Canis lupus familiaris: one gene and its partners. The protein of the gene in region 1 purifies or fractionates together with the protein of each later gene. This does not show direct contact. Links are inferred from orthologs where the notes say so. Each region holds a gene or a part of one and is shown in the gene's direction. Other genes may lie near its edges.

Region 1 (5,806 bases):
CATCTACTTACCAAACACACACTACAACAGCTACCTAAATTTTTTCAATGACCTGATTCTGCTATTGTATGTGCATATGGCACTATGTTTGGAAACTCCACAAATTATACGGACAAATCTCTCCTTTAATTTACTCTGGAAATTAATTCAAAATACAGATCACACTGGTACACCTTATTTATGAAAGAGAATAACTGAATAGCTTGCACATTCAATGAAAGCTTTTACTTTTCAATGTAAAACCTGTTTATACACACCACGAGGCATAATAAATCTGTATTGAAAATAAAACACTAAAATATATTTTTGGTTTTCTATCAGTAAAAGTTTATTATGAAAAAGTTCTAGGGTTGGGATAATAAAGGATTGAAGTCATTTTCATGTCTCCCCAGTATATTTTGGGCACATGAAGTTTTTGTAAAGAAACTTATGAACGTGTTTGTACATTTATCTTTATCTAATAAAAACCAAAAGCAGATAATAAACTCTGCTAGGAAGACCAGAAGTGGGAATATTTTGGCTGTAACACCACCCTCAGTGTTTTCTAGCCCCAACCCCATTATACACCCCAAATAATGTTTTGTAATTCACGGTCTCCGCCCACACTCCCAGTCATTTACTTCACGCCACTCCTTGTTACTATCACACTAGGAAGAAGTCTAACATGCAAATTCAGAGTGGCGTGGATAAATGGCAAAAAAAGAAAAAAGAAAAAAGAAAAAAAGCCTAGAAAATTGTTCTGTTCGGCTTTATAATTTTTGTTGAAAAATACCCCATCGCTCCCAACTGATGAAAACAGGAAGCTCTATTCATAAATATGAAATTCTCTGCCTATGATATATAATCATCCTAATAAGAAAATGAGTTCTATACATACATGTCCAAAGGGGCAAAAAAGGAGATAGTTTCCCAAAGATGTTTCCAATTTTCTTCTGAATCAGAATTAGCAAATCGAGACGACTACATACTCTGTCTGTGTGCATTATTCCTTACTACACACAGCATTTTGTAATTTATTTCAAAGCTTCCATTATAAACAAAAACTACAGCTTCTGTTAACCCACTCTATTCTGAGCTTATAAAGCCAGTAACATTGAACATTCTAAGTTATAACATAAGAATTTTACTTTATAGATGTGTAAGATTTGCTATCAAAGGCTCTGTTAAAGTTAACATCCAAATAAATTATTTAAAGAATTATATAGGATAAATTCATTCCCTTGAAAAATCAAAATTACAAGCATAAAAAAAAAAAACTAAGATTCATCCAACAAAGTGTATCAAAATTCTTACCATTCACTTTTTATCAGATCCTCAAACTGGTCATGAGATAAACATATACACAATACAAAAGATACTATTACATTCAATCTTTATTGTAGGAGCCAGCATCTAATATTGATCATACATTAACCAGACAGACATGATTTAGTATTTGTAAAGGAATCTCCAGACTAACACTTTCATGACAGCCAATTACAGTCAAGCCCAGCAAGCAGTTTGCAACCAGACCTTAAGAAAGGTAAACTTTTTTACAATGACTTACAGATTCACAAGTTTAAGAAGACAAGAAAAAGAAAAACAGAAGGACTCAAATCACCCAGCAAATATGAAGCAGACCCCAGAATGTGATACAATCCAAAGATGTAAATTATTGTAAATCATCACTGTTGTTCAGAATTTCACACAGCCTCTTGAGCCAATTTTGTTCTTTTCCACAGACACAATAATGAACTAAATAAAAGGAGGCAAAAAAAAAAAAAATATGGGGGTCAGGGAATAGAAAGGAAAACCTTAACTGCAGAGTTCTGTTCTACAAATGCTTAACCTTACAGGAGTTTGGGCTCCTTCAGCATTTGTATTCTATCCAAATCCTCATGAGTCACAAAAATTAAAAAGCTATATCCTTCTGGATGCCAGGAAGGGCCTTACCACAAGCCTTTTGTCAGAGAGAAAGAGAGAGAGAGAGACAGTGAAAGAGAGAGAGCAAGAGCAAGGGGGGAAAAGCCACAGTGGTAGGCAGTCCCACTTTACTTTGAGTACTGTGAGGTCACAAACCACATGATTCTGTCTCTCCAGTAATAGTGCTTGCAAAAAAAAGGAGTTTTAAAGCTTTTGCTTTTTTGGATTGTGTGAATGCTTCATTCGCCTCACAAACAACCACAGAACCACAAGTGCGGTGCAAACTTTCTCCAGGAGGACAGCAAGAAGTCTCTGGTTTTTAAATGGTTAATCTCCGCAGGTCACTACCAGCCACCGAGACCAACAGAGTCAGTGAGTGCTCTCTAACCACAGTCTATGCAGTAATAGTAGGTCCTTCAAATATTTGCTCATTCTCTTTTTGTTTTGTTTCCTTGCTTTTCACATGTTACCAGCTACATAATTTCTTGACAGAAAAAAATAAATATAAAGTCTATGTACTCCAGGCATACTGTAAAACTAAAACAAGGTTTGGGTATGGTTTGTATTTTCAGTTTAAGGCTGCAAGCAGAATTTACAACAGAGGGTACAAGTTCTATCTGGAAAAAAAAGGAGGGACTATGGCATCAAACAGCCTCTTCAGCACAGTGACACCATGTCAGCAAAACTTCTTTTGGGGTAAGTGTTATCATATTTTAAAATACTATGAGAGATGAACCTGTTAAACAAAAAGGTATGTTTCTTGGATAAACTGCTAGCTTTTCTGGCTAACGTTGTATGATACTAAAGGTTATGATAATACTGCTATTTTGTTGCACTAAAAACTGAAAAATGAAATTGCTGTACATATTTGCATTTGGCATCTGTAACTTATCTACTTCTCAGAGTAATGACTTGAAATAGAAAAAATTACATTATCTCACATTAGTCAAAATGTTTTCTAGAGCTGTAGAAATCAGGCAGTTAAAGAACAGTAAAGGAAAGTTTAATATTCTCATTTAACCCTCACTGCAATAAAATGAGACACTAAATTAATCAAAGTATTATGAAGTATTCACCCTGGCAGCTCCCTATATTTGAGCAAACTTCAAAAAGGAAGCAATTTTACAAAATAACAGACCACAGAATTATCTCGACATTATGCTCTACCATTATGCTCTACTGCAGAAATAAACCTGCAGCACAGTTAACATTTTACCCAGCTCAACTAAAAGAAATCTATTTGTACTTTTAAACTGCATCATAAGTGCGCAAGTTTGTTTCTAAACAACTTTATATAATTCAAGCATATATTCATATACAAAACTATAAGCATGTAAAAGCCATTTTTGAAAGCTCTTTATAGTTACTCAGGACATCCATGATACTAAGAAGTTCACAGAAGTCTCCAAAAACTTAAATATAATTATATTTTTCTACATAATTTTAATTTTACATCTACACATTATTATCCACATGGAAAACTTGTTGTAAACACACGGCAAATGTTGAAATGTCTAGCGTTCTTTTAATCATATTCTTGGACCTACCAAAATGAATACCATTTAGTCTCATGAAAAATAAAACTACGTAAGGATACCCTGCATGATTTTTAAAAGCCATACCTATTAAATCATGCTGAACTTTGAAAGAAAACAGGCATAAAATAGTCCCTTAATATTCAATTTCAAATTAGTGTTGATACACAAAAGTAAACTACTTCAATATTCATCAGCTGACATAGTATTATAGTAAAATATCTAAACACTTACAAGATTTTCTTTATGACGTCCAACATGTCCCAACTACAAGGCAAGTTTATAAAATTTTCCTTTATCCTTTAAAATAAATCCTTTTGCTGTGTATACCTGCATTAACTTTGCTTTATAACTTACAACTAACGATTGGAGTTTCCTTTACTCCTCCTACTTCACACATTTTAACTGGCTACCAGAGGATCAGTCTTAGTTTAGGTCAAAGAGAAATAATTAAACCTGAAGGAGAAAAATGGTTTCTCTTAAAAAGGTAAGGAAATGCAGTTTGTATTTTACCCCAAAAAATGTAAAATTGCTGTAGTGACTCCCTCAGTAGTTGGAAGTGGGCCCCCTCAGTTACAACACATACGATATAATAATCACAGATTATTTTTTTGAAACGTAATGGTAGATAATAAACATTACTCTAAAAATTTCTCCATTAAGGAAGGAGAACATATATACAACTAGGCTGCATTACAGTCCCTATTATAGTTACAGCTTACACATGGTAACTTTTGCTGTTCCTACACGAGATAAGGAAAAAAATAGTTAAAACTATTGCTATATGAAGGAATAACTTGAAACAGGCATGTCAAGCAGTTAACTTATTCTTTCACAATATTACTATTTGAAAAAAAAAATACATTTTTCTAACCAGATGGGGAGCAACACAAGTTTCAAAGAGTACTTCAGCATTAGAAGCAAAGACATTAATACTGTCACAAATATGTTAAAATGCTCTTTATCCTGTCTTATGAGAGGTCTAATATTTCCGTGACATCCTTAATAACTATTTCTACAGTAGTTTCCAAAACCTGACCAAGTATCTAAATGAGGCATAATAGTAAACTAAATAGATAAAGATCATCTATCGTAGGTCATATATTTTTAGACATCATAATTAATTCTTCCTCTTCTAAAGAGTAGGGGTTAGCCTCTCCCACCCCCAAATAGTATTTCAGCACCTGGAAAACGATGAACCCACTGTACCAAACTAATTATAAGTGTGTAGTGAACATTATGTATAGGTTGTCATCACACTACAAACATTTCCCCAGCCCATAATCTATTTGAAGTCTAAAACCTCACTTTGGGCCTTAAATTCTTATAAATGATAATCAAAACAACCTAATGAAAAATCAAAAGTGTGTGCCCCAATGTTGTAAAATAACTTTTCTGTAATTTGGACTTTTCCTAGATGAGGCACAAAACACACGCTGACCAATTGGCTCACCTCACTGAGTGAAAAGTGTGTGTGTGAGAAAGACAGAGACAGAGACAAAGATTTTCAGTGTCCTTGCTCTCTCAGCAACGATTTATCTTGAATTAAACAAGAACTTTCAATCTCATTATTCAAAATCTATCCATTATTTATAATAAATAAAGTCTGTTGAAAATAACATATCTGACTCCTGGAGTATCTTACAATGAAGAACTTATTTATGACAATATACCAGCTGATTAAATTTCTACATAAAGCTTTTGTAACTGACCATAGTAACTGAACATGATGTATAAACACTGATTCCAAAATAATAGCTCTGGTCCATATATCAGTAACCTTATAGTTACAAGATCTAATAATGTCAAAGCGTTATAACTTGCTTCTAACAGCTAAATACGAAAAGCCAGGGAGACAATTTAAAAGTCAAGAACATACACAGAAGAGCACTCCAACATATATTAAGTTAAAAGCGCCAATATAATTCCCAAAGACTCATAAATTATTTTAAATTATAATAACCCTAACTTTACATGAAAAACTGTTAAATACTTATGTTTAAATTTTAAAAATATTTTAAAATGCAAAAGATTTAAAAGAAATCACAGAAAAATATTTTGTTAGCCTGTATGAATCTCAGGACAGTCTCCAGATCACAATCATGAGGAAGGCATGAAATATACATGATAACATTATGATACATTTTAGTTATTCTAAAAGAATAAAAATTAATCTATTCAATTACACCCTTCTAACTAATCACTGATAGTTTGACTTGTTTAAATCAGTCATGCTAAAGTTAAATTCAGTAAGATAGAAATGTTCCAGTTTGTTAAAAGAACACTGAAATATTTGATGGTTAAATAAACTGCAGAGGGAGGAAAAAACTAACTCATTGAAGGCACTAAGATTTTATCAAACACACAGA
Region 2 (5,614 bases), on another chromosome or scaffold:
CGGGGGCTTCAGTTCTCCCTCTCCAGCTGCCATCCAGAGAGGCTCGTGTGGGTTCATGGTGGTTTCTGACGAACCCAGATGGTGCTGAGCTGGTGCAGCCCGCAGTGTGGCTGCCTTCACCAGCACCTCGTGCCAGGGCATTGGTCCAGCCAGGTGGCCGGTCTGCACTGTCTTGCCGCTGCTGGTCGGGGGTTGGTTTGGAGCTCTTGTTCCTGGTTCTGTGTTGGTTGGTGGGAGTGGGGTGGAGATCTGGACAGAGTTCCAACGTTTGTGCTGGGAGGGGGGTCTTCCAGTGTCACTGCCCTTGGTGGTGTTGACCTAGAAAGATGGGGTTGAGGGGATGGGTACTTGTCTTCCTGCCTCTTGAGCCCTTACCCGCTTCTGATCCCGAGGAGGCATTGGTCTTTGATGCTGCCTGTTGTTCATCTGTAGGCAAGACAAGCTTGTGTGATTTGGCTGTGCCTGCCCCCTGTGCCCCTGCCACCCGGGGCGGGGGCTGTAGCATCTCACAGATAATCCAGTTTTCCCCTGGTTCCCAGCACAGGGTCCCTATATTCATTGATGACTTTTTGCCAAATCCCAGGATGCCATGTTCTAGCCCTCATCTTGCGTGGCCTTTCCCCAGTATTGACTCAGTCCACCAACCCCTTCTAGAAGTACCTTGTCCCAGAACCACACGCTCCGGTTACCTGTCCACTGTCCTGGCCCCTCATCCTTTAACTCCTGGGCAGATATTATCTCATCTCCCCTATACCTCAGCATTGAGGTGTCCCCAGGGCTGGGCCCTTGGATGCCTTCTCATTCTTGTTGACTCCCGTGGCGATCTCAGTGGCCCCATCTCATCCATTCACAATCCAGAACAGCATCTTGGTTCTGCTCCCATTCAGATTTCTAGCTCTAGCCCAGATCTTGCCTGATTCCACATTCAAGAGCCAGCTGCTTGTTTTGGGTCCTTGCCTGGGTGTTTAGTAGGCACCTCAGACTTGAGTGTCTGAAACTGGACTCTTGGTTGCCCGTACCAACCCAGACTCAGTGCTTCCACCATCCTCTGAAGCCCCGATTCGCCCTTGAAATCCTGTCTCCATAGCCCATTCTCCCAACTAGCAAATGCCATCAGCTGCCCGGCAAAGCATGCGCAGAAGGAGGAGTCCCTTCTGAGTGATGAAAACGTTCTAACATGGGTTCAAGGTGACGCTTGCACATCTTGGTAAATTTACTAGAAATTCACTGACTTGTGCATTTCTGAAGGGTAAAAGGCCGTGTGCTCAGTAAAGTTAGTTATTAAGTATGTGTAGAGCTTGGCTACTCCCCCTCTCCGTCAGTGACGACGGCAGCCCGGCCACCACTGGCTCGCACCTAGAACCCGCAGGCACCTCCCCACCTGTTCCTTGCTTCTGTTGTAGCCCCCTGTTCCAGCTCAGCCCAGAAGCCAGAGTCTGGTTCATAGGTAGTGTCCCCCAACACCCAAAGGTCCACGCCTTAATTCAGAATCTGTGAGTATGTGACCTAACGTGGCCAAAGGGACCTTGTAGGTGTGATTAAGGATCTTGAGATGGATGATGATCTTGAATTACCCAGGTGGGTCCAGTGGAATCATAAGGGTCCTTCAGATGGGGAGGCAGGAGGGTCAGAGTGGAAGAAGGAGTCGTGAGTACAGCTGCAGTGACTGATGGCTTTGAAGACAGGGGGACCTGGCGGCTGGGAAAGGCCGGGAGCAGATTCTCCCCTGGAGCCGCCAGAACCGTGGGATAAATCTGTGTTGTTTGGAGCCACTAAGTGTGTAGGAAGAGCCACAGGAGATGAATGCACGTGATGACCTTGTGGCGCTCCTGGAGCCCGGGCTCAGCTTTTCTGCTTCCTATCACTGTGACCTGGGCAGATTGCTCTGCTTCCCCACCTGTCCGTTTTGCACATCGGTTAAATGGGGATTAGCAGGCGGTTAGCAGTGTCCGTGTGTCCCGCTTGCTGCGTGGTTCACGCACTCGTTTCCTTTGTGGTCGCCTCCCCTCCAGGCTGTGCGCTCCGTGGAGGGCGGGTCTGGGGGCTTGTTGTGCCTGTCCCCTGCGGACTGTCTGGAGAGGCTCCAGAAGGCTGGGCGTCAGCCAGCACTCATGTGCTCAGTGTGTGAGCCTGTGGGCTGTCCCTGGGCTGGTTTTCCAGGGTGAGCACGTCCACTGTCGCCAGAGCTGGCAAAATGGCTCTGGCCACGTTCAGAGCTGAAGAAACGCCTGGTGTGACTATGTGGCCCACAGAGTGGGTGGGTCCCCAGGACCCCGGAGCATGCAGGTGCCCCCGCGGGCTTGCTGGAGGTGAGCCCAGGCTGCGGGACTTCCTCCTCGAGGGCCTGGGCCCGAGGGGGGCACATTTCAGTGGCTGGCTGGAGGCGGCGGGCAGGAGGCCCACCTCAGGCGCGCCTGGCAGCGGCGGGGGACTTGGGTGTCGGGTGGAGCGTGTTCTTTATCAGCTCCCACCGAGGAGGAGTCCACGGCACTTGCGCCCAGTGAGCAGCGTCTGTCCCCTTGGCTGTGGGTGCTTAGGACCCTCGTCTGCCCCTGGGCCGCACTTCGAAGGATGTTCTCTGGTGGGTTGGGGGCCGCTGAGCGGTGCTAGGCCCTGCCTCCCTCCTCCTCCCTCAGCATCGGGGCCACCTTCATGTTCCCCGCACTTTTCTGGGTTCGGGGCCAGGGGGCATAGGGAGCAGCTGGGCCACCCAGCCACCTCCCAGCCCTTGCATTTTCGGGGGTGGGGTGTGAGGGGCAGCAGACAGTGCACTTCTGCGGGCTGTGCAGAGGGCGCTTTTTTGTTTTTCACGGTAGAGGCTTTCCTCAGTGTTCGGCCCGTATCCAAGGGTGAGTCTCCACGAAGCTGGGCGGGTGTGTTGGCGGGACCCGTCCTCTGGCCGGTCGCTGGGCAGGGGCCTGGCGCTTCCTCGGGCCCTGGTGCCATGACCTGGCCCTTCCCTCCTGGGCTCTCGGCTCCTCCCTGGGGCGCAGGCCCGGCCCCCGCACTCCGGCCTGCAGTGTATCAGCTGTCACTGCTCCTGCCTCGGGCCAGCACCCAGCTCCCGCCCTCCGCTCGGCGCTGCTCTGGGAGTCCCTGCGTGCGGGGGGCGGGCGGGCCGTGGGGTCAAAGGCTGCCCGTAGCGCGGCCTCCCCGGCCCCGAGGTCCCTGGCCGTCCTGGCTTCCGGGCCGGGTCCTTCTTCACTCTGCATCGCCGGGCCCCTTCCCAGCTCCCAGAATCCTGCGGCTCTTGTCTCCTCGCACGATCTGCTCCTGGGAAGGATTTCGGTCATTTGGCTGTCCCCAGAGTGGAGTCTTCGGAGGAGGAGGGTAAGTGCCAGCAGCCCGTGTTCCTCACAAGCCGTTCTTCAAGAATCAAGAACGAACCCTCCTCGGCTCAGCCAGGCGGCGACTGGGTGGAAAGGCCTCTTAACCTTGTGTTTTCACAATCTAAGTTAAAGATTAATTGGACTCCTAATAATCCTGCAGAAATTCTCGACATCTCAGTTCGCATTCCCTTTCATCCATTTCTTCTTAAGAAAGCCCTGTCGCCGGACTTCAGAATTGAAATCTGCGTGGAGCAGATAACTGTCCGCCCCCACGCCTTCCGTGGTCACTTTAGGAACCGGCAGAGGCTGCACGAGCGGTTTTCAGCCGCCAAGGAGATTATTTTCGAAATGACCCTGCAGTCCGTGAAATGACTTCTTTGAAACAGGAGGCTGAGGAGGTCGGGCTGCCTGTACTCAGGTCGGGGTGTGAGCTCGGCGTCCCCAGGGGGCCCACCCGCTCCCCACCGGGTTCTCACCGGGGCACGGCGCCACCGCCTTGTTTGCTCGTCTTCCCACTCCGGTGGCGGGAGCAGCTGGTGTACAGGTCGGGGGGGCAGGTAACGTGCTGGATCCTGGGGACGGGGTGTGGCCAGTGTCCGCCGGGGCGCAAAGCGGTTTTTGCAGCCCAAGCTGCCGGGTCACTGGGTCAGGGCCCACAGCCCCCACGGAGGCCCAGCACAGGTGCCCTGCGCTGGCCGGCAGCCCCCTCGCTCAGGTTACGCAGCGTGACTGGACATGCTTTGAAGGCAGGTGTCCCCAAAGGTACTGTCCAGGAAGGGAAAGCTCTGAGCTTTCGACCTCCTCATCCACACGCAGGGCCGGCCCGGGGGGGGGTCGGGGGGTCCTGGCCCATCCTGGGGGACCGTCGCACTCCCGGAGAAGCGGCCGCGCCAGGCCCTCGGGAGGGCAGAGCATTCGGTCCTCCTGGCTTTCTGGAAGCTGGATTTTGTACCGGAGGGCAGCAGATCTGTGCTGATCCTACGAAAAGAAGGAAGACAGAGGAAACATGGTTATTTCCCCGTCAGAAATTTTCATTTAAAACTGATTCATACAGGTCAGTTTAAATGGACTTTAAGACGAAGTTTCCCGTGAGGAAGTGACGGTGGCCGAGTGGAGCTGGGTGAGTGGGTCGGGCCATCGTGCTTCCTCGTCCTGGCTCTGTAGCCCCAGGAGTCCTTCATCCCTCCCGTCAAGAACTAGGTCTTAGCAAGCCAACGCCTGCGCCCCTTGGGGTGACATTTTACCATAGGAAGGGGCCCCGCATTGGTGGGGTGAGGCTGAGAGGCTGGGCCCAGGCTGGGGACACCTGCAGGGGGCAGGGGGCCAGCACGGTCCCCCGGGGAGGGCCTTGCCCCGTGCCCCACCTCCCCGCCACCTGCACCCACCCGGACCGCGTGTGAACCTTCTTGACACGTGAAGTGCCCTCTGTCCCTGAGAAGGCTGGGAGGTAGGATTTGGGAACGCCGGTCCATCCTCTATCGCCAGGAGACCCAAGAGCCCCGGGTGTATCACTCCAGGTGCAAAGTGGAGTGAGACACTGTCCCGGGCGGGTTTCTGCACGGCTCACCTGCCCCCGGGGCCCCGGGCCTCTTGCCCAGAGGCCAGTAGGGGATGCGGGGAGTCGCGGCCCGCACCCGACGCACCCTGTCCTCACTTTAGTGTTTGTCCCTGACTGGCTTTCTTTGAGAAACTAGGCGGGCCATAGGCGTGCGCTGCCTGGAGCGGTGCTGTCGCACCGGGACGGGCACCGGCGGCCTGTCGTCCTCTTGCTCCGGGGCGTGTGTCTGGCTGAGCAGACTCACCCTGTCCATCCCCGTGCTGCTCTGCCGGTGGCTCCTTGGACGGCTGCGGCTGGCCCTGCTCTTGCCCACGCGCAGGGATTTCCCACGTACGGAGACCACACTCGGGCCTGCAGTTCCTGGGTCCCAGGACCCAGATTCGGCCTCCCGAGGGCAAGCCTGTGACCCCCGAAGGGCCTCCTCGTCATGCCGCCGGCGGCTCCCGCGCCCCCGGGGGCTCGTGGTGTCCTGCGGGCTCGCCTGGGTCACGCAGGTGCCGCGGCCGTCAGGAGCCCTCCTTCCTGAGAAGCCTGTTCATCTTATTCCACTTTCCCCATTCTCCGCTGGAGGTCTGGAGCGTCTCCTTGGCCGGCGGAGACCGAGGCCTCGGGCGCCTCCGCGCAGGGCCCGCGAGCGTCGCCAGGGCTCAGCCTCCCCGGTAAACGGTGTCCGACAGCAGCAGTCCTGCCTGGAAATGTCGCCCGGCGGATCCACCTTGTCCGGGCG
Region 3 (4,355 bases), on another chromosome or scaffold:
GTGGGTGGGCTGTGGAGCTGGGAGTCCCAGCCTTGGTTGTGTGACCCTGAGCAAATCTGCCAGCTTCCTTCTCTGAGCCTCAGTCACACATCAATCAGTACATGGGGGCTGTGAGACCAGTCATGTGAGTGTAGTTGTGACAGCACTTCCAAGCAGGGGCGCCTGGCCCAGGTGTGACCTGTTAGGACGTAGCTCCTCCGCTCGGCCTCAGTTTCTTTTTTTTTTTTTTTTTTTTTTTTTTTTTAAATTTTTTTTTTAACTTTTTTTATTTATGATAGTCACAGAGAGAGAGAGAGAGAGAGGCAGAGACACAGGCAGAGGGAGAAGCAGGCTCCATGCACTGGGAGCCTGATGTGGGATTCGATCCCGGGTCTCCAGGATCACGCCCTGGGCCAAAGGCAGGCGCCAAACCGCTGCGCCACCCAGGAATCCCTCGGCCTCAGTTTCTAAGGCAACTGATGGCGTGGGGCAGATGGTAGAAATAATTTTGGGTGAGGGGTGGAGTGAGCGTGACTCCTTTGAGTGTCCCCACAGAGAGAGCTGAGTGAGATGCGGGCACCCCCAACTGCTGCAAACTCATCCAAGAAGATGAAGTTTCAAGGAGAACCCAAGAAGCCTCCCATGTGAGTCTAAGGGGGCTAGAACCCACCTTGGCCGCAGGAAGGGTCATGGCTGGATGGCTGTAGGGTAGGCGTCCTAACCCTCCCTGTGCCACTCTACCACCTAGGAACGGTTACCAGAAGTTCTCCCAGGAGCTGCTGTCCAATGGGGAGCTGAACCACCTGCCGCTGAAAGAGCGCATGGTGGAGATTGGCAGCCGCTGGCAGCGCATCTCCCAGAGCCAGAAAGAGCACTACAAAAAATTGGCAGAGGAGCAGCAGAAGCAGTACAAAGTACATCTGGACCTCTGGGTCAAGGTGAGAGGGCTGGGGTGGGGGTACCTGGGTGGCTCAGTGGTTGGGCATCTGCCTTTGGCTCCGGGTGTGATCCTGGGGTCCTGGGATCAAGTCCTGCATTGGGCTCCCCTCAGGGAGTCTGCTTCTCCCTCTGCCTAGGTCTCTGCCTCTTTCAGTCTCTCATGAATAAACAAATAAAATCTTAAGAAAAAAAAGGTGAGAGGGCTGGGGACCCTTGGAAGGAGGAGGCAGCATCTGGCTGGCCTGCCTCCACGATTCCATTCATTGTCCTAGCAGTCCTATGATCAATATCAAAGAAAAGAAACTAAGGTTCAGAGAGATTAAGTAATTTACCCAAGGTTACACAGCTAGTAAATAGAGTAATCCAAGCCAGATTGCCTTGTCCTACCTCCAGCTGGGACCAGAGGGCGTCTCCCAGACTCTGGTTTGGCCTCAAGCCTCCGAGCTCTTCTTGGGCGCCTTGGTTGAGCAGTCAGGTTTATAACGTGGGGAGAGCCACCTCTTTCGCCCCCAGCTATCCAGGCAAGTTAGCCAGGGACCCTGGGAGATAGCAGGGTTTAAGTGTCTAGAGGTTTTGGGGAGCCACAGACTCCTTTATCAGTGGCTCTAGGCTTGTTGGGTGGGAGTGATGATACCAAGCTATGATAGTCATTGTAGGGGGCTTCTCTGCTGAGGAAGGCCCTAACTCTGGAGCCTCCCCTTGACTGTAGAACAGTAGGAGGGACATGAAAACCACAGTCCTAATACAGGGTAGCTTAGAAAAGAATTCAGGGCTTCTTAGGCATTAGTCCTGGACTGTCTTCGCAGATCCTGGGGGGCACTCTGCAGAGACCCAAGGTATGGGGAGAGTGGCAGGAGTAGAATGGGGTAATGGTATGTAAATGCTTAACCCACTGCCTGGCTTTTGGTCAACACACTCCCATCAGCAGTAGTTTGGGTGGCGTTCCAACCTTTACCTCCTTCTCTGTCTCCCAGAGTTTGTCTCCTCAGGACCGTGCAGCGTATAAAGAGTACATCTCCAATGTGAGTGTGGGAGCAGGGTGGTGCTGGGGAAAGGGGGGGTTTGGGGGTCCACTGTCTGGAACTCCTGGCTTCTCCCTTCGTCTGTGTTCCCCTTCCCTGCAGAAACGTAAGAGCATGACCAAGCTTCGAGGCCCAAACCCCAAATCCAGCAGGACTGCCTTGCAGTCCAAGTCGGTAAGGAGCTCCTCCAAGATGGAGGGGGGGGTCCTCGGTGCCTGGAGGAGTGTGGCACAGACCACTGACATGCCTCTGCCCCTCCCAGGAGTCTGAGGAGGATGATGAAGAGGATGAGGAGGATGAGGATGAGGACGAAGAGGAGGAGGATGATGAGAACGGGGATTCCTCTGAGGATGGTGGGGACTCCTCCGAGTCCAGCAGCGAGGACGAGAGTGAGGACGGAGATGAGGTCAGGCAGCAGGGCGTGGTGGGAGGGCAGGGTGGCCCTTACCAGGACTGCCACCTGGTGACCGCATTCCTTGCCCCCCCCAGAACGAGGAGGATGATGAGGATGAGGACGATGATGAGGACGACGATGAGGATGAGGACAATGAGTCTGAGGGCAGCAGCTCTAGCTCCTCCTCCTCGGGGGACTCCTCGGACTCTGACTCCAACTGAGACTCATCCCACCCAGGGCTCCCCTCCCCAACTGACCACCTTTGTTTCTCCCCCATGTTCTGTCCCCTGCCCCTGGCCTCCCCCACTTTCTTTCTTTTTCTTTTTCTTTTTTTTTTTAATTCGGTGGGGGAGGGGCTGGAGGAGCCCAGGCCAGGACTCTGCAGCCTCAGAGACATCAGCCCTGGGGGGCCCTCCAGGGAGTGCAACCATCAGACTGAGCCACCACTGGACCGGCCCGGCCCACCCCTCTTCTGCACTTGGGGTTCCGTCATGGACAATGGACCTGGGAGTGGGGTGGGGGGTCCCAAAGAGTTCAGTGAGGCCCTCCACACCTGCAGCCCGACCCATGGGAGGGTGGAAGCTTGGGGAAGACCCTTCCTGTCCTGGAGGGGCTTGCCGACTGGACCCCTGCATTGGAACTGGAGGCAGGGAACACGTGGGGGGAGAGGAGGGCAGGAGCCTCAGAGAGAACAGGCGCCGCCCCATAGCCCTCTCCCCTGCCCTCTGCAGGAAGGAGCTGCCTGGACCCACTCATGGGGGGGAGGGGGCAGAAGTGTTTTTTATATATGTGTATATATTTTTTTTTTTAAGCTCTGAGCTGTCAACGAGACGTTTCCTACCGATCTCGGCTGCCGTCTCTGTTGTCATTTCTGGGAGAGGGAGGGTTTAGGGGGTAGGTTTGGGACTTTTTAAAAACGGTCTTGATGTGAATGGAAAAGTGCGTGCGCGGGAGCGTGTGTCGCCTGTACATAGCATGGGTGCACCTGTGGATGTGTGCAAAGGCGTGTGTGCATGTGTGTGTGCGCGCGCGTGTGTAAGAGAAGGGGGAGCCCACCTCAGTCTGAATCTGGTGAATGGGTTGCTAAGGGCCAGGGAGATGTTGATCCTGGTGGGAACAGGCTGGGGCAGCCCCTTTCTCCACATTCTCTGCTTTGCCTAATCTCTGATTCAATTGTGGGGGGGGGGGGGGGGGCGGTGTACTGACCACTCTAATGCTTCCTGTATATCTGCTTCTCTCTGCCAGGGCTACATGACTCTGAGCCACCGCTGGTCTCCAGTGGGGCATTGGGAGGGGGACAGACTGGGTGCACCTAAAAGAGCTTTTATTTAGTGGGAAGGGCCTTCCCAGTTCATCTGGGAGGTTGCCTGGCCACCTTAGGCTCAGAAACTGGGCTTGGGGAGATAGATGGGAAGCTCTTAACACACACCCCTCCTGCCTTTCCCTGTATCCTTCAGCTCCCCCACACCCCCACCCCATTCCCTTTGATTTCTCAGGTCTGCTCCCTTCCCCGCCCCTCCAAACCCCCAGGTGGGGAAGGGGTCTGCAAAGGCTGCTTTTGCAGCTGTCCTAACCCTTCCTGGCCATCTCCAAATGTCTGGTAACCTAATCCCTAGACCCTTAATAAGCCAAGCCACCTTATCTCTGTGGATTGAAATTTTTTATTTTTTATTAAATTTTGGCTTTTTTTTCTTACAATCATGTTAATGACCTATTTAGTGGGGGCTTTGTGCTTTTCCGCCTTCCCCCTCTGAATGAAAGCCAAGGGATGGGGGAAGAATGGGAATTCCACCCAGGAGGTGGGATGGGAAAGGTAGGTCCCACCCCCAAAGGAAAGCAAACAATCTGCTTTGCCTCGGAAGTGGTGCTGGGGGTGGGGAACCTGGGGGGACACTCCCCTCTCCCACTCCCCTTCCTTTGTCCTGACCCTGACACAGGGGTTCATAGGTTCTATTTCTTCCCCAAGAGCCTCTGCAAAGAACCCCATTTTCCTGTCTGAATGCCCCTACACTGTTGTGTTT

Evidence for each region.
Region 2: the proteins of RUNX2 (region 1) and HDAC4 purify together in Homo sapiens (affinity purification with western blotting; 3 studies listed by BioGRID). This does not show direct contact. The link is inferred for Canis lupus familiaris from reciprocal best matches to the Homo sapiens genes RUNX2 and HDAC4.
Region 3: the proteins of RUNX2 (region 1) and UBTF purify together in Homo sapiens (co-immunoprecipitation; 3 studies listed by BioGRID and IntAct, with this or other methods). This does not show direct contact. The link is inferred for Canis lupus familiaris from reciprocal best matches to the Homo sapiens genes RUNX2 and UBTF.

Annotation. Positions count from the first base shown.
Region 1 is NC_049233.1:13,823,116-13,828,921, forward strand, and holds the start of RUNX2 (runt-related transcription factor 2), read left to right. Parts: upstream 1-2,063; 5' UTR 2,064-2,136; coding exon 2,137-2,274; coding exon of another isoform or gene 2,275-2,309; intron 2,310-2,474; coding exon 2,475-2,598; intron 2,599-5,806. UniProt on the Homo sapiens protein: Transcription factor involved in osteoblastic differentiation and skeletal morphogenesis. Essential for the maturation of osteoblasts and both intramembranous and endochondral ossification.
Region 2 is NC_049246.1:49,717,098-49,722,711, reverse strand, and holds the start of HDAC4 (histone deacetylase 4), read left to right. Parts: upstream 1-2,179; 5' UTR 2,180-2,194; coding exon 2,195-2,309; intron 2,310-3,130; exon of another isoform or gene 3,131-3,330; intron 3,331-5,614. UniProt on the Homo sapiens protein: Responsible for the deacetylation of lysine residues on the N-terminal part of the core histones (H2A, H2B, H3 and H4).
Region 3 is NC_049230.1:19,063,680-19,068,034, forward strand, and holds the end of UBTF (nucleolar transcription factor 1), read left to right. Parts: intron 1-534; coding exon 535-623; intron 624-727; coding exon 728-917; intron 918-1,892; coding exon 1,893-1,940; intron 1,941-2,042; coding exon 2,043-2,114; intron 2,115-2,202; coding exon 2,203-2,346; intron 2,347-2,429; coding exon 2,430-2,555; 3' UTR 2,556-3,178; downstream 3,179-4,355. UniProt on the Homo sapiens protein: Recognizes the ribosomal RNA gene promoter and activates transcription mediated by RNA polymerase I (Pol I) through cooperative interactions with the transcription factor SL1/TIF-IB complex.